4 linked regions of the Yarrowia lipolytica genome follow. The protein of the gene in region 2 interacts with the protein of the main gene of each other region in a pairwise test. Links are inferred from orthologs where the notes say so. Each region holds a gene or a part of one and is shown on either strand. Other genes may lie near its edges.

Region 1 (3,047 bases), about 670 kb from region 2:
ATATTGAAGAGCTGATTTCTAACGCCGACGAAAAGAATCCTGTCACCGTCGTGTACGCCCCCTCATGCCTCCGAGCTACAAACAAGGAGAAACGTGGCCGCCTAGCAGCCTCCAAGAAGAAGCAGGCTATTGGTATTGCCAGATTTGGCTCTGAGGATGAGTGCAACGAGAAGACAAATAACTGCTCAGGCCATGGTGCTTGCTCCAAGGGCCGTGGCGAGTCTGCCTACACATGCAAGTGCAAGACTGGCCGAGGAGGAAAGTTGTGCCAGAAGCAGGACGTGAGCGTCCAGTTCCAGCTTTTCTTCTGGACTGCAGTTGTCGCTCTGATTACCATTACTCTCGGTATCAAGCTCATGATGAGCGTTGGTAGCGAGCCTCTGCCTGGCGTTTTGGGTAAATAGAGCATACTGTAGCTAACTATCCGTGTGTGACCTACAAAGAGATAACAGTATTAAAAGGAACCATGCTTCCTATAACATTTAATAAGCTGAATGAAACAAAATATGAAGGTATATTGGATACATAGGTTGTGGACGACAATCAAGGACCTCGTTAGACAAGTCCGTCATATAAATTAAGAGCACTGACGATGGTGGGATCAACCTTGGATCCCTCTCGGAATTCTTCCAGAGTCAGCTCACCATTTCGATCCTTGTCCATTTGACGGAAAATCTTGTCCACTCGCTTCTCGGGTGTACTTTCATCCTCAGGTAGTTTGACCATTGAGCCAACCATCTTGTAGATGGCCGTGACAATGGCAAGCATTTCATCGTAGCTGATCTTACCATCGCCGTTGATGTCGTACAACTGGAAGGCCCATTCTAGCTTCTCCTCAAGGGTTCCACGCGAGGTTACACTGATCGCACAGATGAATTCCTTGTAATCCACCGTTCCGCTCTTGTCTTTGTCAAAAACGTTGAAGACGTATTCACTGAACATGGAAGGGTCGCCGAATGGGAAGAATTGTCGATAGATCTTTTGGAACTCTTCCTTGTTCAGCTGGCCAGACGGGCAATCCTTGAGAAAGCCCTTGTACCATTGCTGCAGTTCCTTTCGGTCGAAGTAGGTTGCTTTCTTGAGCTCAGTGAGCTCGTCCTTAGACAGTTTCGATGCTGCTTTTCCCATGGTGAAACCGTGTCTTTTATAGCAATGCGATTATGCTAGTTTTGTCGAATTTGCCCTTAATTTGTGTCGTCAACGGATCCTGGTTGTGGCGGTCAACGTGTGGTTAGCAGCTGTAAAGTCTGGGTTGTGAGTGTCGGGTGTCTTGCGCAGCTGCTCACGCACCCTTCTGGTGATCAAAGTTGTATCTGCTTAGAACCCCCCCGGACTGGCATGGTTTAACACTGCAGATGTGTGCACACTGTAGGCTTATAAGTGGTGAAACCACGAAGGGATACCGCATCTTTGCGCAATTATATTAGATCACAGAAAACAAAACCCGACTTGGTAGAGGCAACCGCCAGCTTCAGCATCACCGCCATCTTTCTATCATACCACTAATGATGTTGAGGTGACCAATTCAAGTGCCGTGTGGAGGCGCAGTTCCAACTTTAATCTGAACGGACGGATCATTATTGTTTTTCGAGATTCTACGACGGTTGAATATTTTGACGATCATCTAAGTTCCGAGCTTGGTGTTTGGTATTTTGGTATATTATTTCACAAACTTCTATTGACATTACAGTGTCGGAAAGCGCATCTTTTGTACTACCGATATCCAGTAGCTACAAGAACAGTACACTCGAATTTGTCTCATGGTTCTTGGCATACCTCATGCGCAGATACAAGTACCCTTGGCATCCTCAATGTTGACAACTTACACATATAATTTTTCAGTTGTCAGTAACTATGATACCGGTATCGGCATAGATTTGTACGCTAATAGATATCATTATTTTTTTAAATATGTATTGAAGGGATGTTGTGTGTGCTGTGAGGTCACGAAAATCGTAGAGTCATTAGAGTCATTAGAGTCATTAATATCATAAGGGTCATAGGACTTTATAAACAGTGTCGTAATAGCAAGGTCGTGATGATCGTGGGGATCATGGATAAAGCGGGTCATAAAGTCATAAAGTCATCAGAAGGGTCATAAAGGTCATAAAGGTCATAAAGGTCATAAAGGTTATAGATGTCATAAAGGTCGTAAGGGTCATAAGGTCGGAAAAGTCGTAAGTCGTAAAGGTCGTAAAGGTCGTAAAGGTCGTGAGCGTCGTAAAGGTCATAAAGGTCATAAGCGTCATAAGGTCGGAAAAGTCGTAAGTCGTAAAGGTCGTAAAGGTCGTAAAGGTCGTGAAAGTCGTGAAAGTCGTGAAAGTCGTGAAAGTCGTGAAAGTCGTGAAAGTCGTGAAAGTCGTGAAAGTCGTAAAAGTCATCATGATTCGTGATGGTCGTGAGAATTACTATGAGGTATTCTCAAGCCCCAGGAGTTTGTCGATAAACCACTCTCGAAGTCCGTCTCTAACAATAGGTAACCGGGAAGGATCTCTTACGTCAAAAACATGCGATCCAATACCCACGTAGCGAGTGGATGGGATGGCGGGTAGTATCTCTCGGATGACGCGGCTGTAATCATCAGGGTGGTGGCCATCTTCGAATCCAGGTATGGCAACAGCTCCCCCACCAACTAGGGAACATGCTCGCGGAGGGGGTCCACAGTTTAGGAGATCAAGATACTTGACATTAAGGTACTTTAAGAGATCCTGTAACGTTTCGCCATTTCCATAGTTCGAGTAGGATCGATTGTAACTGTGGTCAGTGTCGAGGAGGGGATATGAAATACCAAGACCTTCCAAGTGAGGTGAGAGGTTGGCAACGATGTAACTGAGGCACACGTATGGGATCATAAGTGTGCCTCTGTCATCCTCCTTGCACTCAAGGTGTAAATGCCGAAGCTGCGAGTTGCTCAGAGCGCCAGCCATCTCACCGCAGTACATGGGCCAGAATTGCCTATGATGAGTCACCGAAGAGTTCCAGTGGATTATCAAATCGAGAGAGAGAGCGTTGACATGAGCTAGAAATGTAGCCACGCCAGAAATGCA
Region 2 (3,271 bases):
AATCCTCTGTCTTCGATCTGAGCCATCTTGCATCACTTCTCTGAGAAGTCCGAACGCGAATTTCTTTCCAGAATCGTGACATGGTCTCTCGACTTGATCTTGCCGCTCAGACTTCGGATTCAGGCTAAACAGGAAGAGCTGCCTAGTTCTATATACTATTCACAGGCGTGGCAATATCGGCACCGACTTGTTCAAATCAGCCCAAAACGGATTTGATGCTCCACGATATCAGTCTAGGTACCAATAATGGTCGTCAGAATGGAGAAATGTCCCGAGCATCTATGTCCCCTAGTAGAGTAGTGCAGAATAGCTAAAAAAAAATTGATCACGTCTTACCACTACAGTAGCATTAAATAAATTCCTCTATATGCCTGCACTAACATAAAGATCCACCTTATACATCCTAGTACACCATGAACACCGTCTGATCCATGGTCCAACCGAACACTCGAAGGTGAGCTACCGTTCACTGTTCGATTTCGGCATTTCATCACGTCATCTCTGCACTATCATCACTGTATCCTAACATTTACTCCTTTTCCTTTTCCTTTTCCTTCTCCAAGGCAGCCAACTGCCAGGCGGGAATGCTAGCCTTGGGGGCGGGCTTCTTCACGGCGCTGTTGCCGGGCTCGGGCACAAAAGGCTCGGGCTCCTGGATGGGGGAGGGGGCGCTGGAAATGGCCGAGTTGGGCACGGTAGAGGTGCTCGAAGAGGACATGGAAGCAGGCTGGGGAATCATAGGCACAGCTCCTGCGGGAGTGGGGATAAAGTCGTCTCGGTCAGCAGGAACGGTGCTGCTTGAAGACACATTGTGCACGGGAGAGCCGGGAGTCACAGGTGCGGGAGCAGCAGCTGGAACGGCAGGAGACGCCTTTCGAGTGAGGTAGGAGGAGGGAGGAGGAATGGGAGGCAGCTTGGGTCCAGAGCTGGCTGCGGTTCGGGTGCTGAGCAGCTGCTTGAGCGACTTGAGCTCGCTCTGAATGTCGGCCAGACCCTGTTCCTGCGAATCCTTGAGCTTGTCAATGTTCTTGGGCAGTCTGTCTCTGATTCGCTCCACCTCGGCGGTCACAAGCTTCATCTCGTCGTCACGCTTCTTGGTCTGCGATTTGAGCTGGTCGATGGTCTCCTCCACGCCCTTGAGCGCGTCTGTGACCCGCTTGGCCACCTCTACCTGGCTGTTCTTGACCTCCTCTGTGTCCTGCTGCACCTGGTCGAGCAGGCCCTGCACACGGGCAAACTCCGCTTCCAGAGCCTCCTTGTCGGCCTCGAGAGACGGAGGGGTGGGGGGCAGGATGAGAGGCATCAGGTATCGCTTTGCCACCGTGTACAGGCCAAATCCAACACCAACAGTGACGGTGGCCATGATGAATACATCCTTCCAATCCCGTTCAGGAAGAGGAGGAGCCGATTGGAATGCATAGGAGGCAGGCACGGTTGGAGCAGCGCCCCCGTGACTCACCACACTTCCAGGATGACTTTGGGCCGAGCCCGATCCAGCCCGCTTGAGAGCCTCCTCAATCTCCTCAGGAGTCATATCCTTGGACTCCAGAAACTCGATCCGCTTGGCGAGCGGGGCAGTGGCTGCCTGAGGATCGTTCAGGAACGCCACCGCACTTTGCACTAGATCTTCTCGAGGTGCCATGTGTTGTGTAGAGAGACAAGAGGGAATCATAAGAGGAGCTGATGTGGGGTGCGTTTTCGGGGTTAGGGTCCAAGATGATAGATGAGACGTGGAATTACTTGGAAAGTGGGTATTTTTGATTTTTGAAACTACCGCAATGTTAAGAAAAATCTGCTGAATTCAAATCAGTTGTCCTTTTCCAAATCCGAGCCCGAAAAGTCGAGATAAGTGCACCTCCCCATTTCCCAGCGCCGGAATCAAAGTTCCCCATTTACCGAGGCTCAAAATCACAACGGAAAAACACATGTGGGGGAAAAAGTAGGGTAACTTGAAAACCAACGGTCCAGCTCAGATGCACTACGAGTGCAGTACTGTACAGTACAGTACCGGTATGAGTAATCACGTGACATTCACGTGACATTCACGTGATAAAACCGGACCTGGAGGAGTCGATATTGGACGTAGCCACCAGTATAGCGTGCTACTTGCCAAATAACGTCCACTATCAAAAAATGAAATAAAAATGAAAATAAAAATGAAAATAAAACTCCTATGCTTACATAAGCGCAGCTCCCCCAATGTATGGCATAAAGTGCTCGTATGGGTTCGAGTGTACCACAAGAATCTGAGGAATAGGAGCTAAGCAGGAACTTCAAAATACGGGTCACATGAACTGAACAAAAGAGGGTCTCAAAAAACCTCCGACTTTTGAATTAAAACATTGCCCTCCACTGTCTCAGTGTACCCACCCTAGGGTCTACTACTTGTAGGATTCAGCTAACTGGGGTAGATAACAAAGTATTATGGGGAAAACATGTCGTCCTTGTTCAGTTTTTTGCCGCGAGTCCACGGGTCAACTCCGTTTGTTAATACATGCATTAACAGCACTTCATTTCTTCACTTTCTAAACTGTTCTCTGATGAATCAGGCGAGACACCCACCCACCAATACCAACGTGGTAATTATCGAATACGGGAGTCTACAGTCACATATACTGCATTGATATATTCCTTGGGGCCTAAAGAATGCAGTGATCAACTCCTCGTATTCGTCAGGTCACCGAGAGAGTTGGTTGGACCCTCTTTCCTCTCGCCGCTGCACATGAAGACAACCTTGACAACTTCTTCAGCGTTGTTCGGACAAAAATAAACACTTGACTAACTGTTGTTGGTATTCCTTCCCCTTGAATTAGTGCGCTTCTGGATGGCGGAGATGGAACGCTGGGGTTTATTTTGGCACTAGTGCTGAAAAATGACCTGAACGACGCTAGCACCTGCATATTTGTGATCATCTCCGTGGAAGTGCTAGACAGTACTTGTGGGCCCACAGAGAGCAGTATTTAGCCCATGGTAGGGTTTCTTCGTGTCCGGTAATGCAAACTAGAGACAAAAAAGGTGCTTTGTGGGCAACCACAAGGCTAGTTTGGACTCATCGCAGGGCTGTACTAATGAGTATCGCGCTTAGAGCACAAGGAGGTTCGGGCAGATCAGATACAATTGTCGGTTTATTATTTAGACTTGCTTAACTACAAGTAGACACTTCAATCCGCCATCATTGTTGGTAAGAATGCCAGAAACCAATATGAGGTTCAACAGGGGGTGAGGTGAAAGAAATGGAGGTAAGGGGTTGAGGTTCAGGGATAAGAAGTTT
Region 3 (5,276 bases), on a different chromosome or scaffold from region 2:
ATGCAAGTTCTCAAGATTCGCCACCCTCGATGATCCACTACTTGTAGATGGAGACCGTTGATAGAAAAGTCGGTAGAAAGGTGTCGATTATATTTTGGTCGTGATTGGAAAGATTTTGTCCGGTGGTTTTTTCTTCATCCCCAATTTCAACACGACAGCACAAGCACGAGTACAGTTCACTGCTCAATATCATCACTCCTATCTCCGTCATGCAGTCGCCCCCACTTTTGCAGTCCGATTACTGTAATTTTGGGGCATCTCAGATGCACTAAGGAACGAGACATTTTTCCTATAATCCAAATATTTATAAAAAGTTAAAAAAAAATTAATATAAAAAACATAAAAAAACATAAAAACCAGTACGAGTAGTTGCGTGAGCCAAGCAGATTGTACTGTGAGAATATAATTTCTCTTATCGGTGTAAATAATCAAGTTTTGGTGGTCTTCCTACTCCAGTATTTGAGCAATGTCATAATTATCACGTAATATATTTATACAAATCCACCCATCATCCCTCGTCTGTTCATTTCTTGCCTCCCTCAAATTGCTGTCTCAGCTTGAGATAGTGTTGCAGCTCCTCCGCCGAAACAGATGGACTCAGCTCGTCCTTGGCCTTCTCAAAATCCTGCTGAGCAACCTCAACCTCAATGTCACTCTTGGTAGCCTCGTGGTCAAACCACCATCTGATGGAGACGGGCTCCTCTCCGGCCTCCTCCCTGTTCTTGTTGAGCAGCTTGATCTTGGCATCAACCTCGTTGGCAGTTCGAGTCATGGCATTTAGCATGGCATCTGAACACAGAGCGTAGAAATCGGCGCCGGTGAAAGTAAACGGACATCGTTTGGAGATGGCCTCAAGAGACACATCGGCAGCAAGTCGGAACTTTCGAGTAAGAGCCTCCATAATAGTCTGCTGCTTCTCGTGGGTATCAGAGATACCCAAGTACAGCATCTTATCGAATCGTCCAGGTCGCAGAAGAGCCTCGTCCAACAGATCAGGACGGTTAGTAGCTCCCACAACGAAAACACCCTCTCCTCCCGCAGTAGACATTCCATCGAGCTCAGCTAGCAGCTGCGACACAATTCGGTCCATGACTCCTCCAGAGTCTCCCTGGTTGCCTCTCTGAGGCGCCACGGAATCCAACTCGTCAAAGAAGACAACACAGGGCTTGGCATCTCGGGCCTTTTGGAATACTCGTCGCACGTTGGCCTCGGATTCACCAATGTACATGTTGAGCAGCTCGGGACCCTTGACGGAGAAGAAGTTGAGCGAGAAAGTCGTGGCAATGGCTTTCGCGAGAAGAGTCTTACCAGTACCGGGAGGACCGTAAAACAGAATACCCGATCGCTTCTTTACACCGTCAGAGAACCAGTGGGGGTACTTTAGAGGAGTCTCGATAGTGTCCAGAATATCCTTCTTGACACCCTCCATGCCTCCAACATCGTCCCATCCGACATTGGGGATTCGGGGAGCTCCAATGGAGTCGGAGTACTTTTGTCGAGCATCAGCAATAGCGTCATCAAAGTCGGAGGGAGTCAGCTGGAGAGTACCATGCGAAAGGGTCAGGAGATCGTCTAGAGTGGTATCGGAGTCCTTGGTGAGCTTGTTAAGTCGATCAATGGCTCTCAGACGGGTAGTCTGGACAATGGCTGTGAGATCAGGAGGGGTCAGACCGGCAGATTGGAGCGCAAGGTTCTCAACAGAGACATCAGAACGCAGAGAAATGGGTGCATTTCTGATTGAATCGCCCCCAGGACCGGATTTCGTCAGATGAGAAAAGATCTGACGTCTTTGGGGCTCAGAGGGCACTCCGATCTCAATTTCAAACTGAAATCGAGATCGAATGGCCTCGGAAATCTTGTCGGGATCGTTAGACGTAGCTGCCAGCAGCACTCCGTGTCCGGAGTAGTCCGCAAGAACGTCCACAAGCTTTGAAACTATTCCCTCATCCTTTCCGTCCTGGTCGCTCTTCTTTGCAATCGACTCGAGATGCTGCAGAACGACCACGCAAGGAGAGCAGCCATAGGCCCGGTCTAGCTTGGCTCGCAGAGTTCCCAGTGTCTGGGCCTCATTGTCTCCAATAAGTCCAAAACACGAGATTTCGAACACAGAAATTCCGCACTGGGCAGCCACGGAACGAAGAACAGTTGACTTTCCGACGCCTCGCTTGGCGGAATGCAAAAGTACCGAGGTGTTGAGTTTGGCGTGCGAGAGAGCCGAGGTCGAGATCTGAACCAGGTTGCGGATCTTGTCGGCGTATGCAAACTCGGATCCAAACTTGGGCAAGGTATCCAGACCGAGATATTCGCGCCATGGAACACTGGTGGGGATTACAGCAGAAGAAGTAGTTCCTCCCTCGATCAACTTTGTCTGAGAGGAGTCCACAAGGTACTGTTTGGAGGCAGGGTCTTCACTTCCGTTGAGAGAAGTGACCTGAAACCACGCCACGGAGTCGGGCTTGACTGCCAGAGCTTCCAGAGGAATGTGGCTCATTTCAGGATCTTCGCCAATAGTTCGAGCGAGAATAGAGTCAAAGGGAATGGGGATCAGATCACCTACTCGAACGGCTCTCTTTACGGGCTTAAAGTAGGCCTGCAGACCTGCGTGGTAGGCTGTTTGGAAGGTTCTGTCTGTGGTAGTAGGACCAAGCACTCTTGCCAGCTTGACTTCCTCAGCAGCTTCAAGCACGGAATCCAGCGCCTCTCCTACAGACTTATGTGTCTCACCGTTGGGAGTCACCTCAATCTCCTTGTCGCCAATGTTGTGGTACAAAATGGGCGAGACGTAGACCACGTCGTACTTGACTGTGTTTGGTTCGGGGTATGCAAACAGTCGGAGCACCCGTTCGGCTCCGTTTTTGGTCTTGATGGACACAATGTCGCCGGAAAAGACTCCGAGTTTCGACATGGTTTCAGACTTGACGAAGCCTCGGCTTTCGCAGTCGTCAAACCGGTCCGAGAGAGGAGTAGGGATGGCTCCTTCAAGAGGTGCCACTTGGAGGTTTGTGGATTCACGGGTCTTGGCAACAGATGTGTCAAAGTCGAGAAACTCTGCAATGTCAAAGGCCACGTCGGCAGCTTCGTCGGCCGGTTGGATGGTTTCCTGCTCTTTGGCGACCGTCAGCTTGGTGGTTCCCTTGACCACCTTGCCCTGGTTTACAGGCTCGCACAGACGCACTCTGCATCCGTTGAGCAGCACGTCGCCCTGTCGGATTACCGGTCGGTCCTTGTCGAGTTGCGGCTCGAGAGCCTTGAGCACTTGTTCGGGTGTGTTAAGCGTTTCGTACTGGCTGGCAGGCACGGTCACGATGGCATGCTCAATCGTGACAGGGTTGACCCGTTTGAGCACCACGGGCATGAACTTTTTGAGACTGCCTGCCACGTGGCGAATGTCGGCCTTGCAAGTGTACTGCGGCAGAGATCGGTCCTCAGAAGCAGGATACAGAGCCCACTTGATTCCAGGAGCTTCGAACGCAACATATGGCTCGGCTGGCTTGTCGGAAAAGAGCTGCTGGTACAGGTAGGACGAGAGCTCGAGCTTGGTGGCATCCGGGGCAGCCACCAGCTTGGCTGTGATGGGTTTGTGGCTGATCGACGGCATGCTCGATGTGGTGGTGTTGTAGAGAAGAATGACTATGATCTGTCGGCCGAGGTTAAGGGAGCGTGCAGAAAAGAGAGTTTGGCGGACATCAAGGTTAATGTGAAAAGTGGGGTGTGGGGAAGAGCCAGAATAACGGTATGAATGAAGCACGTGATAGACGTCAAGGTGGGTGTTTTTTATGTTGGTGAAGATTCCCAGTAGTGACTGGAATAATGGGAAATTCAATTCTTTTTGTTTCTGTTCAAATTTCGGCTCTGAATGATGAGTACAAGTTGTTCCGTGATGATGTTAGCCTGGGCGCGCGTTATGTACTGTAGCTAACTAGTATGAATACTGTACATACGGTACTAGAAAAAACAACACCTTCGGAGATGCTTCTACTGGTAGTTCTATATGAATCAGTCAATTGAGAGAGACTTTACAATGTAATGGTTTTGAAATCATAATACGGATAATATATACACACAGGACTTGAGGTACGGTACTTGTAGTGCCCGGAGGAGTAAGTAACCGAGTCCAATCTCATTGACAATAAACACACAAGTCGTCAGCACCAGTGACAGTTCCAATACAGTAGTTCCTTCTTAGTCGAGGATGTTGGAAAGCTGAACCATTGGGTATTGCCAGAACAGTACACAGTACATAGTATGCGGTACATTCCTGCGTGAGTCGTGTGGCATCACTTGTTTGGCGGTTTGGTTATAGTAATTCGTTGCTTAATCAGTCTTGACCTTTCTCAGCTCTCCCTGCAACCGCTGGAATACGTCAATGACAATGTAGCCAGAAATGAAGAAAAAGGGGGCGTAGACAGCGAGCAGGTTGTATCGAAGGGCATCGGTAAGACCGGCTCGAGCCCACACCTCCGCGAGACATGCCAGAGTCGTTAGGCTGGCATTGACACCGTACACCAGCATCCACAGGTATGTCGTGGGAGTGGCGGTCTTGGTTAGCAGCTTGTAGGCTCCATAAACAAAGAAGGGCAGCTGGAAGAGGATCTCGATCCAGATGAAGGACATGAACCACGCTGGTTTTTCGAGCACAATGAAATCCTTGTTGGATGCCACGTGGAAGTCTTCCATGAACTGTTGCCCGGGTAGTTTGTACGCCGCAGGAATGGCAAAGCCTCCATCGACCATCAGGGTGATGACAAAGTGGATGGCACTATGTTAGCAGGGAGCGGAGCGTAGATAGTCTGCGGTAGACCGTGTGTTCGCCGTGTTGTACTCACAAATACCACCCGTAAAAGGTGTCTCGCGTGGACATGTTATGTGGTGTATCGTGTTGAAAGATGAAAGTTGATGATGAACAACTTAGTTGTAGTAGATGCATGTGCAGTAGTTCTGTTAGAGGGCAATTTAGAGGGGCCTTGTGGTTTTGATTTACACGAAATTGAATAGAATGGGGACAAAAAATTGAAAGCTAGGACAACTCCTGAGACATAGTCCTTCTCTTTTTATACCAAAACCCATCTCGTACGCCCTATCTCAGTGTCTTTTGGTCGACACTTTACCGCATCTATAGACCGCACTCCTAGGTCATAAAATAGTTAAATATATACAATTAAAAGTGGACAACACGTCTATGGTGATGCTGGCTGTCCACCGATGAAGATTCTGTCGCGTGCTCACTTTTTTACCTCCTTTTCCAGCATATCCTTGGCCTCGTTGATTTTCTTGGC
Region 4 (2,891 bases), on a different chromosome or scaffold from region 2:
ATACTGTATACCAGTCAATTGATAGTGGTGGTTAGTCATTACTTGTACACTTGTGGTTGTGACAATGGTTGATTCAGTATCTACTCGTACATCCTTCGATTCCGTAGAGGGATATCAATGGGATTGAATGTGGAGTATGTGGTCATATGGTGATACTGAGACGTCAGAGAACATATAGCCATGCCATGCCTCTTAAACAGATCGTTTCCCACTTCACCTCTCTCTACCCACTCTTATGCTATTCAGTTTCTCCATGCACAATACAACTCACATCATACGCTGCTCTTATCGTACATCTGAGACATTGATTTATCTCCGAAGACGCGTTTTATGGATATGTATCAATTGTGTCGTACAGTGCTCGTACTGGTAACACCTTCTCAGGTCTACTGATTGGCATGCTGCTATCTGCACACATTGTTCATCTGCAGAACTACACGGAACGCTACAGACACACTTGGTTGCTACAACACAGTCAAAACTCATTATTCTTTGTGCTCTCCCTATTGAGCATACGTCTCTTGCGAGTTATCTATCTAAGCAGTAGCGGCCCAGGCCTTCTGGACACCCATAATACCGGTAGCGAAACCAGCCAGGCCGACGAGACCGTCATCGAGGTGCAGGTAGCCGAGAGAGGTGAGGGGGATGGAGAAATCGAGGAGATCCCAGACCAGCTGCTTCTGGGCAGCGGCAGCGTCCTTGTCGTTCTTCTTGGCGGAGGTGGTGTCCTTCTCCTTCTCTGCTGCCAGAGCAGCTCGCTTCTTCTTGCAGATGTTGATCTTGTGGATGGAGTTGAGAATGTTGCAGAAGATACCAAAGGCCCAGAAGTAGGAGCCGACCTTCTTGATGGTCTTGATGTTGTCAATCTTCTTGATGCCGGAGCCGTTGATGTAGATGATGGAGTCAAAGACCAGGTAGATGGCGTAGCCGAGGTTTCGGCCAATGGTTGTGTATCGCAGACAAGGGTCCAGGGTCTTGTTCTCGAACGACACGGCGGCGGTCTTGAGATGGCCAATGGGCTTTCCAACTCGGAACAGCTTTCGGGCCATGGAGAACTGGTTCTGGATCTTTCGGAAAATATCAATGGTGTCCTTGGTGTAGCCCTTTCGGAACAGGTAGTAGGTCAGGAACCGCGAGAAGTACTGGATGGACCGCAGGATCTTGTCTCGACCGACGTGGGTCTCAAGCAGCTTGACCACTCGGGTCACGGTGGGGTTCTGGGCGAGGCAAACGGACATCTTTTTTGTGTGTGTTGGCGTGAAGAAGGGGAGACTCTAGGGTTTTAAAAACGGTCTTCGTCACCACCGCAAATAAGCTCAGCTGGGGTAAGGTTGCCGAACTAAATGTACCGAGGCTAGTTTTCACGTGGAGAAGGTCCCACCATGTGTATATAAGGGGGGGACGGAGCGCTGTTTGCACGGTTGTAAAGCTGCGAACCAGTAGATTGCCACTCGGTGGTTGGATTGCTGGCTTCAGCCGTTTAATTCGGTTGCAGCAAACTTGTTTCACGTTCAGCCAATCCGCAGGCACGCAAATCGGGCAAAGCCGGAGAACGGTGTATATAGCAAAACACGACAATGTCCGAGCCGGTCTGCGTGGCATATATATGTTCGAGTACTTGTATATATATTATATTTGTTATTATGGCAACGGTTTCCAGTGCAGGGGTCGCAGGATTGAATACCCCGCCTTTAGTACTGCGATATTCGACGTTATTTTCACGACTCTTTGAGCACTTAAATTTCAGCACCCACTCCACTCCACGCCTACGCACTCAGCTTACTCCTTGACCAGGCCCATTGGACCATTCATACCTTGTGTGTGAGAGAGCATGGCAAGTGCGTGGGGTGCGTGCAGCTCCCCAATCAAAAATACCCCAAGTCCGAGAGTTTATACATTATGGGGAAGAGTATGGGGTGCAGATCAAGTCCGATAAATGGTGGGTTTTTCAGACCGTCTTTTTTTGGGATTATTTCTTCTCCGCGCGTGAGTTCGATTTCCGCAGATGATGTAATCGTGATTACAAGTTGGAACACTGTGTGGGGTGCCAAGCGGTGAGTGACAGGTGTTGCCACCAGGTTCGACACTGTACATTGACGACTGTTGCCGGGCTTGTAACAGTGGTCCGCACGTAAAGACGGTTCGACACGTGTGTCACCGGGTAGATATTATGGCTTGCCCCCGAACTGGACCAGATTGACTCTGGGCAACTATCTCGACAACGGTGGTCTACATCCGAGTGCCAGTACAATACCAGTAGTTGAAAGTATGACTATGTACAGTACATACAAGTACAAGAGCTTGTGCGATTGCGAATACTGACTAGACTGCCGGCTCAGTACTGGAACAGCAATGGATGAGACACAGAGATTGCCAATCTCCATAACTGCTAGACCTGCTAAACGGTATCCCTTAGACCAGATGCAGTCTTTGTATGTAGCGGTACGAGTACAAGTACAGTACATGCTGTACATCGAAAAGCATCAAGTGAGCGGGGTTCGGGATCAATCAGAATGGGTTGGCACTGAAGAGAGCATACCTGACCAACAAGGGTGGAGTACGAGTACAAGTGGTGGTACAGTATGTATGCAATACTTGAGGGCGGTCAGTAGGCATCGTACAATGTTACACGTGACCAAACCTGATCATTCCGGCAACACAAGTACTTGTATATAGGCAAGTCCGGGGGATTATACTGGCCATGAGTTTGAGAGCATGGATGGAGTGGAAGGTGGAGAATGCAGTGGCTTTGATAGTGACGCTTGATATAGTAGCACCCAACATGGTATATACTGTAGTGTACAAGTAGAGAGAGAGTCTTGTTTATTCAACGGAAATGCACTTACTATACGGCACTTACGAGTACAAGTAGCTAGATATTCCACAGCTAG

The links.
Region 1: the proteins of YALI1_E11587g (region 2) and YALI1_E18242g interact in binary tests that used the Saccharomyces cerevisiae proteins (3 or more experiments, as listed by UniProt). The link is inferred for Yarrowia lipolytica from reciprocal best matches to the Saccharomyces cerevisiae genes PEX14 and FRQ1.
Region 3: the proteins of YALI1_E11587g (region 2) and YALI1_C25979g interact in binary tests that used the Saccharomyces cerevisiae proteins (3 or more experiments, as listed by UniProt). The link is inferred for Yarrowia lipolytica from reciprocal best matches to the Saccharomyces cerevisiae genes PEX14 and PEX6.
Region 4: the proteins of YALI1_E11587g (region 2) and YALI1_C05386g interact in a protein complementation assay, tested with the Saccharomyces cerevisiae proteins (2 studies listed by BioGRID). The link is inferred for Yarrowia lipolytica from reciprocal best matches to the Saccharomyces cerevisiae genes PEX14 and PEX11.

The regions. Positions count from the first base shown.
Region 1 is NC_090774.1:1,822,349-1,825,395, reverse strand, and holds YALI1_E18242g (uncharacterized protein), read right to left. Parts: upstream 1,129-3,047; coding exon 556-1,128; downstream 1-555. Other genes in the region: YALI1_E18258g (uncharacterized protein), read left to right, coding at 1-404; YALI1_E18212g (uncharacterized protein), read right to left, coding at 2,409-3,047.
Region 2 is NC_090774.1:1,157,106-1,160,376, reverse strand, and holds YALI1_E11587g (uncharacterized protein), read right to left. Parts: upstream 1,673-3,271; coding exon 530-1,672; downstream 1-529. UniProt on the Saccharomyces cerevisiae protein: Component of the PEX13-PEX14 docking complex, a translocon channel that specifically mediates the import of peroxisomal cargo proteins bound to PEX5 or PEX21 receptors.
Region 3 is NC_090772.1:2,594,315-2,599,590, forward strand, and holds YALI1_C25979g (uncharacterized protein), read right to left. Parts: upstream 3,599-5,276; coding exon 524-3,598; downstream 1-523. Other genes in the region: YALI1_C25990g (uncharacterized protein), read right to left, coding at 4,315-4,759, 4,827-4,927; YALI1_C25998g (uncharacterized protein), read right to left, coding at 5,223-5,276. UniProt on the Saccharomyces cerevisiae protein: Component of the PEX1-PEX6 AAA ATPase complex, a protein dislocase complex that mediates the ATP-dependent extraction of the PEX5 receptor from peroxisomal membranes, an essential step for PEX5 recycling.
Region 4 is NC_090772.1:537,365-540,255, forward strand, and holds YALI1_C05386g (uncharacterized protein), read right to left. Parts: upstream 1,239-2,891; coding exon 537-1,238; downstream 1-536. UniProt on the Saccharomyces cerevisiae protein: Involved in peroxisomal proliferation. Promotes peroxisome division and biogenesis.